Stegostoma tigrinum: one gene and its partner. The protein of the gene in region 1 purifies or fractionates together with the protein of each later gene. This does not show direct contact. Links are inferred from orthologs where the notes say so. Each region holds a gene or a part of one and is shown on either strand. Other genes may lie near its edges.

Evidence for each region. Proteins that work in one complex are often made in the same cells at the same time.
Region 2: the proteins of lck (region 1) and unc119a purify together in Homo sapiens (affinity purification with western blotting; 3 studies listed by BioGRID and IntAct, with this or other methods). This does not show direct contact. The link is inferred for Stegostoma tigrinum from reciprocal best matches to the Homo sapiens genes LCK and UNC119.

What each region holds. Positions count from the first base shown.
Region 1 is NC_081377.1:45,809,265-45,817,248, reverse strand, and holds the start of lck (tyrosine-protein kinase Lck), read right to left. Parts: upstream 3,528-7,984; 5' UTR 3,340-3,527; intron 1-3,339. UniProt on the Homo sapiens protein: Non-receptor tyrosine-protein kinase that plays an essential role in the selection and maturation of developing T-cells in the thymus and in the function of mature T-cells. Plays a key role in T-cell antigen receptor (TCR)-linked signal transduction pathways.
Region 2 is NC_081380.1:47,275,238-47,283,716, forward strand, and holds the start of unc119a (protein unc-119 homolog A), read left to right. Parts: upstream 1-5,096; 5' UTR 5,097-5,120; coding exon 5,121-5,256; intron 5,257-5,288; exon of another isoform or gene 5,289-5,303; coding exon of another isoform or gene 5,304-5,331; intron 5,332-5,524; coding exon 5,525-5,767; intron 5,768-8,479. UniProt on the Homo sapiens protein: Involved in synaptic functions in photoreceptor cells, the signal transduction in immune cells as a Src family kinase activator, endosome recycling, the uptake of bacteria and endocytosis, protein trafficking in sensory neurons and as lipid-binding chaperone with specificity for a diverse subset of myristoylated proteins.

The sequences.
Region 1 (7,984 bases):
TCTGGGTGAAGAAGATTCTCCTCATCTCAGTCCTAAATGGCCCACTCTGTACCCTTAGACCTGGTTCTGGACTCCCTGGTCATTGGGAACATCCATCATTTGTTTGTTTACCTTGTCTAAACAATTTGAAAATTAGAAAATGGGAGCTGAAAGCAGTGAAACCATTTTAAAGAGATAAATAATGTTAATGAATTAATATTTCAAAGGCACATTCATATTAAGGTGTCATTAAATGCTATTTCATATTTTTCCAGTTAAACAGTAACATTCCAACTTTATGATTTACATGTGCAATTCAGTGCTAAAAGTATTAAATTACAAATTACAGACACTATATGAAATTTTACTCGTAAGTCATGTAGAAATAATCTTGTGATATGCATCAAAATTAAAATTGTATCATAATGCCAAAGAGCTGAGCAAGGATGATTAGTTTATGGTTCAGTTTCCTAATTTTATTTTATAATATTGAACAGAATTTTGTAGAAATTTATTTGCTGTCTCCACCCTGCCTCCCACCACTTGCCATTAACAACCTCTACCATGCCTAACTGCTCCAGACTCAATACTTTCAATGATTTTCTGGTTTGCCTCTCAATTTCCACTTTCCACAAACTTGAGTTCATCCAAAACTCTGCTGTCTGTATTCTTACTCAGACCAAGTTCTTCACATGTATTATCTTTAACGCTCATTAATCTACATTGGCTCGTAATCTAACAATGCCTCAATTTTAATAAGATCAAATTTTCCATGATCTCAAGCCTCCCGAGCTTTTTAACCACTTGAAGCCCCAAAGCCCTCCAAACACTCAATGTTTCATCAATTCTGGATTATTGTACATCCCTTTCTCCCTCTGCCCTACACTGACAGCTGTAGCCCAAGCTGCCTCAAGACCCTAAGTGCTGGAATTCTCACTTCATACCGCTCCATCTCTATTTCTCATTCACAATGCATCTTAAAATGTATTATTTTATCGAAGATTTTAGCTGTCTACCCAAATATTTCATTCTTTAGATTGGTGTCAAGTTTTGTTTTATGACTTGCTATGGGATTTTTTCCCTATATAAAGCAAATCCAGAGAAACTCAGCAGGGCTGGCCACGTCTGTGCAGAGAAAGCAGAGCCCAGTGGCCCTTCAATGAAGATCCTTTTTCCTCTGAAGAAGGGCCTCTGGACTCTAAATGTTAATCCTGCTTATTCTCCACAGATGCTGCCAACCCTGCCGAGTTTATCCTGCATTTTCTGTTTCTGTTTCAGACGTCCAGCATCCGCCTTAAAATATAGAACATAGAACATAGAACAGTACAAGGCCTTCGACCCATGATATTGTGCTGAACTTGTATCCTAAACCTGAGGTCTATCTAACCTCCACCCCTACTTTCTTTATTTTATTATAAGAATATAACCATTTATTGAGATTATGTACCATGAAGCAATACTATAATAAAATTCCTTTTAATGTTGAACTTTAGAATGCTTTTTATTTGCAATTCTCATTTTCCTTCCAAAACTATTTAATCACAGCAAGTGTGTTTTGTTGGAAGTCATTGCAGTAAAGATCAGAAGCGAATTTCCAATTGTTCAATGCAGCAGAACTCCACAATACAATCTTAGCTGAAAGAATATGGACAAAGTCTTAGTGAATATAAACTAAAATCAATTCTAGAACTGAACTGGGCTGGCTCAGATTACTCAATCTAACTAGGTACAGGCCATGGTGAATCTAAGCTGTGGCAGTTTCAATGAAATCTCCTGCGCTTAAAGCCTTTGAAAAATGGAAAAAAATTAATAGAAGCAATGGACTCATTTAACAGAATTGTAATGTCCTCAGCTTTAAAGAGAGTACCTTCTCACTGTTCAGTTTTTGGATCAAGATCTCACATTTGATTTTGTTGCTCGTTGGCTCAGATATATTCATCCCTATCAAATGGATACTACACTGGGATTGTGTGAACTTTGTATTGAGACACAAGACAAATACATCCTCGTGGATAGTCAAGAAAAATCATGTGGAACAAACAGTGGTAAAAGAAGTTACAATTATTCATTTTCTTTATTTTATAAGTATGACGCCCATTTTGCAATTACTGGTTGTCCTGGGGATAAAATCTTGTGGATGTATAAATTGAAAATGTGTGGTACCATCAATTATATCATTAGCATTTTGAAGAACTAGATGTTTTTCCAGTCACAAAATGCCAACATATTTTCATTTTTTCTCTATCCCTGATCTATATGAAAGAGGATGTTATGTTGAATTGGGGCTGGTTAGCTCTGTTGTCGAGATGGCCGGTGTGTGCTGTAAAATAACAGCAGCTGCATAGGTTTAATTCCAATGCTGAGTTGGCTTAGGACCGGCCTCTTCGTCCTGCCCCGGGAATGGGTGACAATGACAAACCACCAAGAAAAGGATCCACCAAGAAGACAATTCAGGATGAAGCATCAACAGAGAATGAATCCAGAATCTGCTCTCGGGCAAGACAAACAACAATGAATTCACGCTGAACATCCATGTGGTCACATCCACAGTTATGTTAGAGCTGTTTCTGGCTGTGCAAGCATACTCTCCACTATGCCTAATAATTATTAAAAAAAAATTCATGTAAATTATCTTATATAAATGCACGTTATTTAAGAAGGCATTTATCATGCCCAGACTCTCGCTAAAAAGGAATTTTATATTTGAGTGGTGAGAATGAATAACTCAGCAGTAAAACAGTATCCCACCCAGAACAGAATATTAGCGATTGCTGTAAATAAACTTCTCCATTCCATAAACAAACAGAATTCTTTTCAATGCTTACTGTATGACCAGAAAATCAGTAGGAAATCAGTTAAAACAGGACACTTGAGAGTTATAGTTATAAACTTAACAGAAAAGGAAGTCTTAAATAATGTATATTTTGTTTTTAAATATCTCCCAGTTAACCTGAAGTAAGCAGTTAGGGTGCATAGCTTACTGCCACACATTTTAAAATATGGTATTTGGATTTGCTACAATATATTGATCCAGTGGCTTGAAGGAGTTAGAATTATGCAGAAAATCATATTCTCACACAGTAGACATTAAACAGTATTTCAGTTTTATAATGAAATACAATCAGTTTATCCAGGGATATATCATTTTGATTGTGCAACAGTTTCCAAGCTACTCAACTGTCCTGAACTCCAGGGAGCATTAGAAGCAAACTTACTTCAAAATACAAATCTATGCCATCCACAAAGAGGAAAATATATCTTCACATGATATTGAAAATAATTTTGATAGCAACATGTTCCAGAGCTGTAAAGAATGATGTATAAGATACTGCAGAAGCTCTTTAAAAACTTTCAACTTACCTTTTTGTTTGGTTGTAAACTTTATCTCCCGTGCATGGTATTATTAACTCAAGACGGTGAAAATGTTGGTATTCCTTTTGTTCAAACTGGTTGGATTTTGAGGCAAGATGAAATTGTACAAACCCAATCTCAATGAAGTAAACCCATTGAATTAATTGATCTGTTCCACACACATTGTTGTTGTTTCATCGTTCAGCACCTTGTGATCAAACGTGGCATTTACCTCAGAGATTCTTTGTCTTCTCTGACAAATCATCTCATCTCCACAGCCAGCAAAAGGCAACCGACCACTTCCTGTCGAATTGAGCAACAGCAGAGAAATGGAGAAGGCTGTTAAGACTGATCTCTCGGGTTCCTCATTGCAGGTGTGTTGGTTTCAATAGCAGAATTAAGTTCAATTGAAAGTTACTTCATGCACTATACATTGAAAACAGCTTGTTTTTTCGAGGAACAATCGTGCCATGGTGTAAGAGAAATGACCAGCTGCTATGAGATGGAGAAACCTCAAGCCTGTTTCCAAGAGTCATCAACCCACAGGTAAAACTGCCTTGGAAACTGGGAATCCTTCGAAACAAAAGTCCCCAAAATGAAGCAGTAAGTAGTAAGATATCATGCAGCTGCTCTGCTGTGAGGCTGGAGCCTTCAGCAATGCAGATGAACCATCATTGGTGCATCAGTTGGACTTGATATCAACCCGCATGTGTAAGTTGGAAATTGCTGCCTTTCCTAATGGTAACAAGAAAGGCTTTTGGGGTACAGTGGTCATGCCCCTATCTCTGAGCCAGAAGGGTTGGGTTCAAGTCCCACTTGCTCCAGAAGTGTGTCAAAACATTGCTAAGAAAGATGATCTGAAAATATCTTTCTCATGTTAATAGCCCTTTCACCAAAGATTACAAAATGGCCAAATAATATTCTGTTGTTAAAACTTGGTAACAATTTGATTATTGTAAATAAATGGTTCAAGTTTGTCCCTGCACTAGTCCCAGACATAAACATCTTCCTCGCCTAATTCCACTGGCTTCTCTGTGTTGCAGTCAAATCAATCATTCCCATTGACACTGCTCAGCCTGTATGGGGCAGCTGTCATCGCTTCTACCATTGAATGCTACTTACAAATGTCCTAGTGAAGCTGGGAGCTCACACATCTCAGGGAATGGCTGGAGTATGGAACAATTTGAGTGGAATCTTTCGTGCCCTGGAATGAACCAGGCAATGGTGAGTCAGTTGGGAAAATGCACAAGATTAAAAAAATAAGAAGTTTGAAGTTGAGAAAAAGAAGGCTGATTTCCATTCAAGGTTTTAACAACAAGATAAGAACCTCACTGATGAGTGGCAAGGGGAAAAGTTTGTACACATTAACATCTCATTATTAACAAGTTTCACTTCAGTTACATGCATTTACATGCAGTTTGCTGGATGCCGACAATTCCCAACATGAGCAGATGGGACTCTGCCTTGAACAATCATTCCCAATTGTTCCCTTGTGTCGCACAAACCTCATTGAGTTTTCAATCATGTGGATGAGGGTAGGGCAGTTGACGTGGTGTACATGGACCTCAGTAAAGCTTTTGATGAGGTTCCACATGGTAGGCTATTGGAGAAAATATGGAGGTATGGGATTGAGGGAGATTTAGCAGTGTGGATTAGAAATTGGCTTTCTGTCAGAAGGCAACGAGTGGTGGTTGATGGAAAATATTCAGCCTGGAGTCCGGTTACTAGTGGTGTGCCTCAAGGATTTGTTTTGGGACCACTGCTGTTTGTCATTTTTATAAATGACTTGGACGCAGGCATAGGTGGATGGGTCAGTAAGTTTGCAGATGACACTAAAGTCGGGGGAGTGATAAACAGTGTGGAAGAGTGTTGCAGGTCGCAGAGAGACTTGGATAAACTGCAGAATTGGGCTGAAAGGTAGCAAATGAAGTTTAATACAGATAAATGTGAGGTGATTCACTTTGGGAAGAATAATAGGAAGGCACAATACTGGGTCAATGGAAAGATTCTTGGTAGTGTGGATGTGCAGAGGGATCTTGGTGCCCATATCCATAGATCCCTGAAAGTTGCCTCCCAGGTTGATAGTGCTGTTAAGAAGGCTTACGGTGTGTTAGGTTTTATTGGTAGAGGGATTGAGTTCTGGAGCCGTGATGTCATGCTGCAACTGTATGAAATGCTAGTGCGGCCTCACTTGGAATATTGCATACAGTTCTGGTCGCCCCATTACAGGAAGGATGTGGAAGCATTGGAAAAGGTGCAGAGAAGATTTACCAGGATGTTGTCTGGTCTGGAGCAAAGGCCTTATGAAGAAAGGCTGAGGGACTTGGGTCTGTTCTCATTGGAGAGAAGAAGGCTAAGAGGGGATTTAATAGAGACATACAAGATGATTAGAGGATTAGATACGGTGGACAGTGAGAGTCTTTTTCCGAGGATGATGACTTCAGCTTGTATAAGGGGGCATAGCTGCAAATTGAGGGGTGATAGATTTAAGACAGATGTCAGAGGCAGGTTCTTTACTCAGAGAGTGGTAAGGGCATGTAATGCCCTGCCTGCCAATGTAGTTAACGCAGCCACATTGGGGGCATTTAAACAGTCCTTGGATAAGCATATGGATGATGATGGGATAGTGTAGGGAGATGGGCTTAGATTAGTTCACAGGTCGGCACAACGTGGAGGGCTGAAGGGCCTGTTCTGAGCTGTATTTTTCTATGTTCTATGTTCAATCTCTTAGGGCACACTGTACAGGCAGTGGAGTGACTTGTACAATCACCATCCTCTCCCCCCAAACCCTTTCGCTGCCTCCCTGCCCATTTTGGTTGACTCTGGACACGTGTCTGGCTATCTTTTTGCACATGGTCAACATCCATTTCATAAATCAGAACAGATTGCATCTTAGGACACCTCACTTAGCCCTCATTCACTTTGTACTTTCTTGGATGCTCACAGCAATTCTGTCTTACCTTGACCTTCCCCTATATTGTCATTTTAATGCCTCATTCAGAACTTACAGCGTCATGGTACATTTGTCCTGCCTTATCCTTTGGCACAGACACAAAGCAGGGTAGCTTGTCATGTTTCCCAGCTGTGATCCATCCAGGGTGTAGAAGTGTTTATGTATGACACTGTGCTACATGAATCTCACAAGTACACCGTGTGACAACAGCTAACGCAGCAAACATACTGTATGTGCCTCAGCCAAACAGCCATGAACTCAAAGTCTAAGAAGTGCATCCTCAATCAAGTCAAGGCTGATTAATGTCAGTCAGGGTCTACGAACTTGGTCAGTCAAGGCTCAATATCAGTCGAGGGACTTGTGTGGGACTTGGATGGGAGTTTGGCTTCTGTGACGGCCTGGGCTGTGCACACAACTTTCCACTGCTTCCTATGCTCCTGGGCAGGCCAGTTGCCGTACCATGCCATTATGCACCCAGATAGAATGCTTTCCATGGCTCAACTGCAAAAGTTTGCGAGGGTCCTCATGGGCATGTCTAATTTTGTGACAGTCCCAAGGAAGAAGAAGCATTTTTGTGCCTTCTTGACCATCGCATCTACGTGGGAGATCCAGGACAGATTGTTCGCTATGGTCACTGCACAAACTTAATACTCTCAACTCTCTAAACCTCAGATCCGTCGATGTAAATAGGGACATGCCTCCCTTTCAGGAGTCAAGGATTTGTCTAAAAGTGAACCTGGTTGTGTCTCAGCTGACTGAGCAGTTTGGAACTGGAAACAGGTTTCAGAGTCAGAGACAGAGAGAGAGAGAAAAGCAGAAAAGTGTGCTCTCCTCTTCTTCAAAGCTGAAGTAGCCTGTTTGCTGCAGTAAAGCAAGACTCAGTTTAAATTTAAAACAAAACGGTACCTTTCCTGCAGCAGTTGCTGTGCGTTGTGACTTTTGAGTGCGTAGGTCAGAGACATTTTCTAAGTGAATGAATTGCTTTCTATTTCTTACAAACCTGCATTAGCTTCCAGAGAAAGACCATCAAGATGAGCCGAAAATGGATCATTTCCAGGTCAGAATCAAAAAGTGTGTGTGTGTGTGTGTGTCTGTGAGTTTCCTTATGTCTGAGAGTGTCTCTGTATCTGTGTGTATGTACGTGTTTCTGTGACTGTCTGTTTGTGTGTATGTCTGTGTCTGTGTGAGCGGGTGTGTATGTGAATGTGTGTTTGGGTGTCTGCGGGACAGTTTATAAGGGATTAGAGTTTTCATTATAGTGTTATATGTTAATGTTTTATATCTGTCTACTCATAGCTATTATGTAATTACTTACAATAAATATTAATTCTTGGTGAGCACAGAAATCTGATCTACATTTTTATCAATCTTGGCTCAAAAGTCAGGTAAATTGGGGAACATTGCGTACTTTAAAAAAACTTTAACATTTAGTTTGACTCTGAGAATAGTGGGGCATGATTTACAGCATGTTGAACCAATGGGCCATAGCACAGCCAAGCCTATCTCACTTCACAGGACAGTCTTGCCATCCCTGGTATCAACCCAGTGAACCTACACTGCACTCCCCCAATTATAAGTATGTCCTTTCTTAGGTAGGGAAACCAAAACTGGACACAAAGCTGCGTGGCATGCTCTCACCAATGCCCTGTAATCCTCTGGCATGAAGATCAATATATCTTCTTAATCAGAGAGTGTGTTCTT
Region 2 (8,479 bases), on another chromosome or scaffold:
CACTTCACTATGATTTCTTTCACTTTGTGCTGTCCTGAGGGTGGTGAATACTGCTGTAGAAATACAAATCTTTTCTATGTGAAGCGCAGCAACATTACTGTTTTAAAAACTCAGTGCCTAATATAGCCAGAGGATGTGTTTTACCCTAGATTAAACCCCCTCCTGTACATACACAGGGGTAACTACTGCTTTGTGTAGTAGGCTCCTTCATTAGGATACTTTTTCAGAATCTCCTCTCTCATGTAAAACAATGATCTTTCACCAAGTCAATGTATCAATATTGCCACATAAATCTCATGCTGGCCAGCAGGGAACTCTTAAAAACATGCCACGAGAAGACCAGATGGTAGACTTTTCTGCATTAAATTCTGGATAAGGACAGACTCCATCAGGGAAAAAAATTATAGTAGACCACATTAATTTCCACTTCCAGTTGGAGTATCAGTTCTAGTTTTCTGACAAATGTATTTCTTTTCCGGAAACCTTGTGTGGGCATGTAGATGAAATTCTGTTTCCCTACTCCCCACAATGTTGTGACCTTCATCACGCACCACCCTGACACACTCATCCCATAGTACAGCGAATGATGAGTGACTGTATCAGGCATTAAGAGTTAACAAATGAGTGACATATTTTCTTCATTTCAAATAGACAGGACAAATCGTGGAAAACCTTGATTGTGCCATCCGCTGCCACTTTAAAAATGCAAGGATGGGTAGTGAAACCAGCTAAATTGTATTTGTAAGGAGCCAGCATGGACTTGATTAGCCAAATACAGCATTCTGTGCTGTGGTCATTCTGTGATTTTATTCAACTGCTCTGTTGAACAGTGTGGAACAAGTATGATGTTTGGGATTATTTGCCCTTGCAGTCCCCTATGACACTATAACTGGGATCTCAGGTCTTTATTTTACTGACGTGATCATCGTACATTTTAGTGAGAAATAAAAATTCCAAGGGGAAAATGCACCATCTGTGGTTTAGTAGGAAGATTAAAGACGGTATCAAACTGAAAATGGTGCAGATCCAAAGAATTGACATAATATATTTTAAAAAGCACAGATTGATTAAAAGGTTAATAAGGAGAGAAAAATTAGAATGAAGCAGAGTGGAGGGAGGAATGAGCGATCACTCCATCATTACCCAGAAGCCTAATTCACTTCTTTGCTGCTGATCCTTGGGAGTAGGCACCTTGTTCTGATTTTGACTAGGAGCTATGTTACCATGGCCAAAGACATTGGGTGAAAGTGCCATATTGTTATGAGTTGATGACAAATATCCTGGGTTCAATGTATAAGAACCAAATGCCACAGTATTGAGAGGGATACAAAAGTAGCCTCAGTTTCTGATCGGAGAAGGGGGTGTTTAGCTGAGCAATAACATATGGCAATCAGGTGAGAATTGATTTAGTTTAGGAATGATTATGGGTAAGGACACTTTGAACCGTGCCGTAGAATTTTTAATATCCACACAGGGCAGCAGTGTACCAGTTTGTCCAAACTGCATCTTACCTGACAACGCAGCACCTTCTCAGAACTGCATGAGTGCCAGACTACATTTAACACCAATAACATGATATAGCATCTTCTTATTCAGTCAATATAACCTGGACAACCAGCAGCTGAGTGAAACTGAGATCCCACAACCTGGATAATGTTTTAACACAAATGTTTCTATGAAAGCAGCTCTTCAGGATTGAGATGGATACATATTTTTTGATAGCAAAGCATATGAATAGATATTTGAACAAAGATAGATCATTTCTGATCATCAGTGATTGATAGAACAGGCTTGAGGGGCTGAATAACCTACTCCTAATTCTAACAACCAGGCTGTTAAACCAGATATTACCTTTTATATCTTAGACTTTTTCTAGTGCTTATTACCCAGATAAGCAAGACATGCTACATAACTACTCTCCGACCTGGCCTACACTGAAACATACAAATCTGACGTGAGTTATTCTGGTTGTTGTAATGAGAATAGTGTTGTTTTAAAGCGAGTGACAAATGTGCAAAGGTGGTATGAAGAAAAGCATTTCTACGTTGTAGTTGAGTATGAACTGGAATACGCTGCAGGAAGTAGCTATAGACTACAGAAAGGGTGGGTGGATTCAATCATAGCTTTCCAAAGGGAATTTGCTAAATGCCCAAAAGATGAAAATGTCAGTAGTTGGTATGTTCATCAGCCTGCTGAACTGTTCCATTCATTTATGTCTCGGATCTGTCTGAATTTTGATTGTTATCTTACCGTAATGATGTGGAGCCTGTCCATATCAAGATTGAATAGAGCTGAATAACTTTTTTGAGTTGTAGAAGTCTGTTTATTGTAATTCTTCCCATTCCATTATTATACTTTGGAAGAATGCAGCTCTCTCTGGACATTGCTTTTCAGGTGTCAGAACTGGTCTCTTGGATTACTCTGCTACTACAGATGTGCTGTATTTTTGACCTGCAGGATTTGAAAGATGTTTCCTCATTTTCATCAAACCAACTCCTGATGCACTTTAGCTATTTGGTCTGAGAAATGTTTGCTGTTTTCACTGATGATGTATTTAAATTAGTGCGTTTCTCAACACAATCTCCATAGAAGTGTGTGCCAGCATGAGCTTTTGACCAATTTTGTTGCAGCAAGCCGTTTTACTGAATTCAGCCATACTGAAGGATCTCTGATGGCTTTTGGTCAGCTGTACTGAGTTGGAACAATTTGCAAGTTGACTATTGCACTCATAGGTCTGTGATCAGTCTACCATTCTGTACATCCTGGCGATCTCTCTGACACACAGTGATACAGTTGATCATGTGTTTTGACCTTATCAACTTGTCTGAACATTGTGTTGTTAATACAGCGTATGTGCTGAGGACACTTTGCTCAGTATTGATGGGTTGCTGTTACATTTATCGCACTTAAACTTCTCGCAACTATCCCATCAAAATTACAGCACTCCATGAGACAACGCTTGCTGATGAGGATCACTAAAGGAAGATGGACATGTCTATACTTTTCTTCTGGAACAGGAAAGTGGAAATACAGGAAACCCTGTATCTCCCTGAACTCCTTTCCAGTTATTGCTGAATTTCACCACATAGGCATTGGTCTCCCAGGAGAATGAGCTTATTACTAACAGATGTAGACAGGACTGATCCAGATCCTCCAATTTATTGTGTCATGTTCTCAGGGCTGCTGAGATTTGGTGTATAGGTACTGATGATGGTCACTTGATATGTTTACTCCAGCGGGAAGTGCAGCTGCATGGGGTGCTTGTTGATTTTGAAGGAAGTGTGTAAGTGTCTTACATTGGGGATGACCTGATGATGAAACCTTCACCATCTATCCTTTTCTTGCTACTCACTTTCCTGTTCCAGAAGAAAAGTATAGACATGTCCGTCTTCTTTTAGTGATCCTCATCAGCAAGCGTTGTCTCATGGAGTGCTGTAATTTTGATGGGATAGTTGCAAGAAGTTTAAGTGCGATAACCAGGAGTTCTCCGTTCAGGCAGTATTGTGTCATCTGTCTAGTAGTTTGCAAATTCCAAGCTTCAGTGATAAATTGTTTTATTTTCTTTGATTTTGACATTATTCAACTGCTTTCTGGATGATCTGCCAGCTGCAGCAGACTGGCAAAATGTTGACAGGGTCGGCAATATTTCAGGTACATTTTCAAACCCCTTCCTCTCAAAGGGTGGACAGTACTGCCCAGTCACCCTGGATGCTGCCAGACTCTCTCATCCCAGGTATGCAGATTAAGTAACCTACAGTGTGGAATCAGGCCCTTCGGCCATGGTCCAAGAGCTGGATAGTAACAATGACCACTAGTGGTCATTGCCATCGGCCACTACACCATGAACCCGTTACTGCAGGGCTTCTGAAAAGACAACATGTTTGTACCAAAACCTTCGAGGGAATATTTAAAAATAAGCAGAGCTGTGGCACAAAAAGCAGTCCACTCCCTCGGGTACAGAAACCTGGTTTCAATGATACAGAGAACCGTTAAGACTGAAGACTTGCTGCTGTGGGTGACTGCTACATCTTTTGAGCATTTTCATGTTCTTTGTGCTGCACTTTGCTGGGCTGCCGCAATGACTGTTGAATCAGACAAGTGGTCTTTCTTACCTAGGTTTCTGGAACAGCCATTGTCTGTGAGAAACAGGCAACTCAGAAACTCGGTAATAAAATATGAGGCTGGATGAACACAGCAGGCCCAGCAGCCTCCCAGGAGCACAAGCTGACTGGTCCAAATTCATTCACACTGCACCAGTAACATCCGAGGGCATTCCCAGTGTGTTATCTGACAGAATTTGACACAGACGCAGGGGGAGCCAGACTGCCAGTCAGAGAAGCAGGTCTTAAACATCTTCAAGACAGCATAGGGGTTTAGTGAGGGCATGCTAGAGCTTGGGGCCTGGGAAGCTGACAGCACGGCCATCGGTGATGGAGTGATTAAAATTAGAGAGACCGGGATTGGAAGATCCTGGTATGTTCTTACAGGTTAGAGCTGGAGGAAGAAAGAGATGGAAATGAAAAGAGATTTGAGAACACAGATGTGGATTCAGTAGTCCAGGAATGAGATATCAGGTCCGACTGTATCTGTGGAGTGAGGGGCGGTTCACATCCAGTTTGACTCCTCTTCGAGATTAATGCTTCCTGTTCCAAATAAGAGTCACATTGAGATTGTATCAGTGAAAATGGGAATTGCAGATGCTGGAGAATCCAAGATAACACAATGTGCAGCTGGATGTGGTCATCCAGCTGCACACTTTGTCACATTGAGATTGGAAACGTTAACTCGATTTCTGTCCAGACCCTGCCAGTGTTTTTTTTTGTGTTTTCTTTTAAAATTTCAGAGCGTTAGCGACCTTCATCTTAAAATCTGAGGGTGTCTGGACCAGGAGCCAGAGTAGGTCAGCGAGCAGAGGGTGGTGATCAGCACTTGGTGCGACCGAAGTGAGATGCTGATGGCTGAGTTTTGGTTGAGGTGCAGTTTATACATGTAAGGCTGGAGACTGGCCTTTGCCATGTACAGTACGCAGGTGCTTTCTAGCACACACCGGCTAGTGCCCGGTAGTGGGAGCTCTGGTTTAAGAGAGACCGGGGGGCCCGAGATTAAGCTGTCAGAAATGCATGGTCTTACATCCTAATAGTTGCTATCCTCGCAACGCTCCGCCCTTTGTTTATTATATATTCAAAACTGCAGCCCATGCTGATATTTTAAAACATAAATGCAATAGAAACGTGTATCAACGAATTTACTGCTCAGGTATTGCGAACGGATTGTACCATTCCTTCAGAAAGGAGAGGGATTCGATGAGAGAGAACAGGGTAACACTGAGAGGTTTGGATGCTTGAGGGGTAAATCCCATCCCCCTCAGTTATTGATGTTGTGTAATTTTATGAATGGGCTGTTTGCGGGGGAGGAAGGAGTGAGGAAGAGTCTATTTGGAGTGGTGGGTGATTGTGTGTGTCCCTTGCGTGTGGGTGGTGCAGTCCGCACTGGATACATTGTAACGGTTTGATTTCCGCTCCAGGTAAAGAGCGGATCCTGCGGCGGCAGCACCAAGAGCTTCGGCTCCGGGCAGGGAGCCGGAGAGACATGAGCTTTTCTGGCACCAAAGCCCTGAGCAGCAACACCAAGAACCAGGACGCGGTCGGCATGAAGGTGAAGAAGGCGCCGCCGAGTGAAGGGCTTCCGGCCACCACCGAGGAGGAGCTGCTGAAGAAGGAGTGTGTGACCCCCGAGGACGTGCTGGGTCTGCAGAAGATCACCCAGAGTGAGTACAGCCTCTTAAAATGGACAGCTGAAAAAACACTGCCGCGGCAAGACCGAGAGCTGGAGGGAGGCAGGAATTGAGCTGCAAGTGTCCCCAAAGTCGGGGAGCCAGAGCTGGGGAAGAGGGGCTCAGAACCCCCTCAGTCCAGAGCCAGGCGCCCACAGAGGCAGGGGTACAGAGTTTCAGAGCTCAATACTCTCCTTAGCCAGGTACCGGTGTGGTGGAGAGTAGAGGCGGTCCTTCACGAGATTGTGTGTGGAAGGTGAGAGTAGGGATGTAGACACAGAGTATCTGAGGTTCTTCTGGTACCCAAAACCTTCAGAGGCTGAGACCTGATAGACGGTACAGGAGGTGGTGAGAACACACATTTCACAATTTGAAAGGGCAAGGATGGAGCCAATGGGTGGCATAAGCCTATTGGAAAGCCTGGATCCAGGCAAATGAAGCAGAGGCCAATGGGAAAGGTGAGTGTGTCAGGCAGAATTTACCTCCTTTAACTGCTTCTGGGCAATCAACTCAATTACTTGTTCACAGTGAGTGTCCACAGGGGCCAGCAGTATCCCAGCGGCTGAGCTGGGGGAGCTGCTCCCAAAACCAGTCACACTTTAAAACCGAGAGTGAGAGTAAGTCTCTCCCAATAAATGACATTTAACAAAAAGTGTTAGTTCCTACCCCCAACTGCCAGTTGGAACACTCTAAAGGAAGTTCAAACTGTCTGTACTGTGATGTCACCTAACAAGTATTATTTTTCAAATGTTACATTATTTTGTGATGGCTTCACCCGCGATGTAAGTTGCATTTTTCCTTGAAGAAATAGTTCCAGTACCTTGAGTAGATAAAGTTGCAACAAATTTCTTAAAAACGAGGCATCAGGTACCAACCCTGCCTTTGAGGAATGAAGAGGCATTACATACATTGGGAAAGCATGGTCATTGCCTTTCCATCCAATGATTGTATGAAGTTAGATACAAACCATAGGATTTGTGTCCAGTTCATCTTTTGTGCCAGATACATTGATAAAAACATAGAAGATAGGAGCAGGAGGAGGCCATTTGTCCCCTCGACCCTGCTCTGCCATTCTTCACAGTCTTGGCTGATCGTTCACCTCATTAGCCCGACCTGCTTTCTCCCCATAATCTCTGATCCCATTTGCCCAAGTGCTATATCTAGTCGCTTCTTGAATATATTCAGAGTTTTGGCATCAGTGACTTCCTGTGGTAATGAATTCCACAGGCTGTCCACTCTTTGGATGAGGAAATGCCTCCTCATTTCCTTGTACTGTGACCCCTGGTTCTGAACACACCCGCCACCAGGAACATCCTCCCTGCGCATCTACCTTGTCCTGCCCTGTTAGAATTTTGTAAGTCTCTGTGAGATCCCCCCTCATTCAGCTGAAAGCTAGTGAAAATATTCCCAACCTAGTCAATCTCTCCGCATACATCAGACTCGCCAGCCCCGGTATCAGCCTGGCAAACCTTTGCTGCACTCCCTCGAGAGCAAGAGTGTCTTTCGTCAGAAAAGGAGATCAAAACTGCATGGTTAATGATATGGTAATTATTTAGAAAAGTTTGGAAAAGCTGTATGCTTCATCTTTGCTAACACTGGGCCTGACCTTCTGATTTACAGCTTTGTTTTAATCCTTTGATTTTCGAGTTAAAGACTTTTTGATTTCTTTGTATAGATTCATGCATTAATTGTGTTTCTTTTTTCTGTTGTCAGCTGTGATTTGTAACTCAAGAACCCAGCAGAGAGCTCTTTAATCCTGATGTGGGTCTTTTGCCCTAAGCTTAGATACATGGCATGTAGTTGCTCACAAATGGTAAACCAGAGGCTCCCAATAACTAAATTTTAAATGGGAATATTCAGCTCTATTGCTTGGAATTTATTTATCGGAATCCATGTACTCCCACTTAGACTGATATTGTCCTGAACTGTGAGGGATTCTGTATTGGTGTGGTTCTGTAAGGGCTGTCAGTGCTGGATTCAGATTCTGCCCGAATCTCTCAGCTCGCAGCCATTCCAACCAAAATTAGAAAAGCAATGTTAGTTGATCCTGCCTGTTTTCCATCTCCTTGGTCGTTTGGTGGCTTCTGGAAACTGACATTCTCAGTAGTTCCCAAGAGTGCAGAGTCCCATCCCAAAACACTGCAGTTAATTGGAAACAGAGGTCCCAGACAGGAATTGCCATTCTCTATCACACTTTCCATTCAAAGAGCGTTTGTCAATTTTAATCAACCTGTTTGGACATGTTATGGTATATCCCTGGGCAAATGGTTCTTGAATCCAGAACTCCTGGCCGAGAGTAGAGACAGTACTACTGAGCCACAAGACTCTGTGAAAGAATTTTATCTTTGGGATTGAAGATAACGAGACAAACTAGTTTTTAAAAAAATCTGTTTTAGTGCAGGTGGAAACACCAGTTTGTAAGTGTTTTATTTCTGAATTCTGGACATAGATTAAAGAATGATATGGTCATTGGGTTGAGGGCAATACTTAGTGCTACAACACTAACTATGTGATGGCAATGTTTCACACCCGCTGACTTCAGAGACAATTTTCTTATAAATTATAAAAGGACAGAATACAGCACAGAGATGGGCCATTCAGCCTAAATGGTCCATGCTGCAGTTTGTGCTCCTCACACGCCTCCATCCACCAGATTTTACTCCCTGCTATCGATACATCATTCTGTCCATTTGTTCTTCATTTACT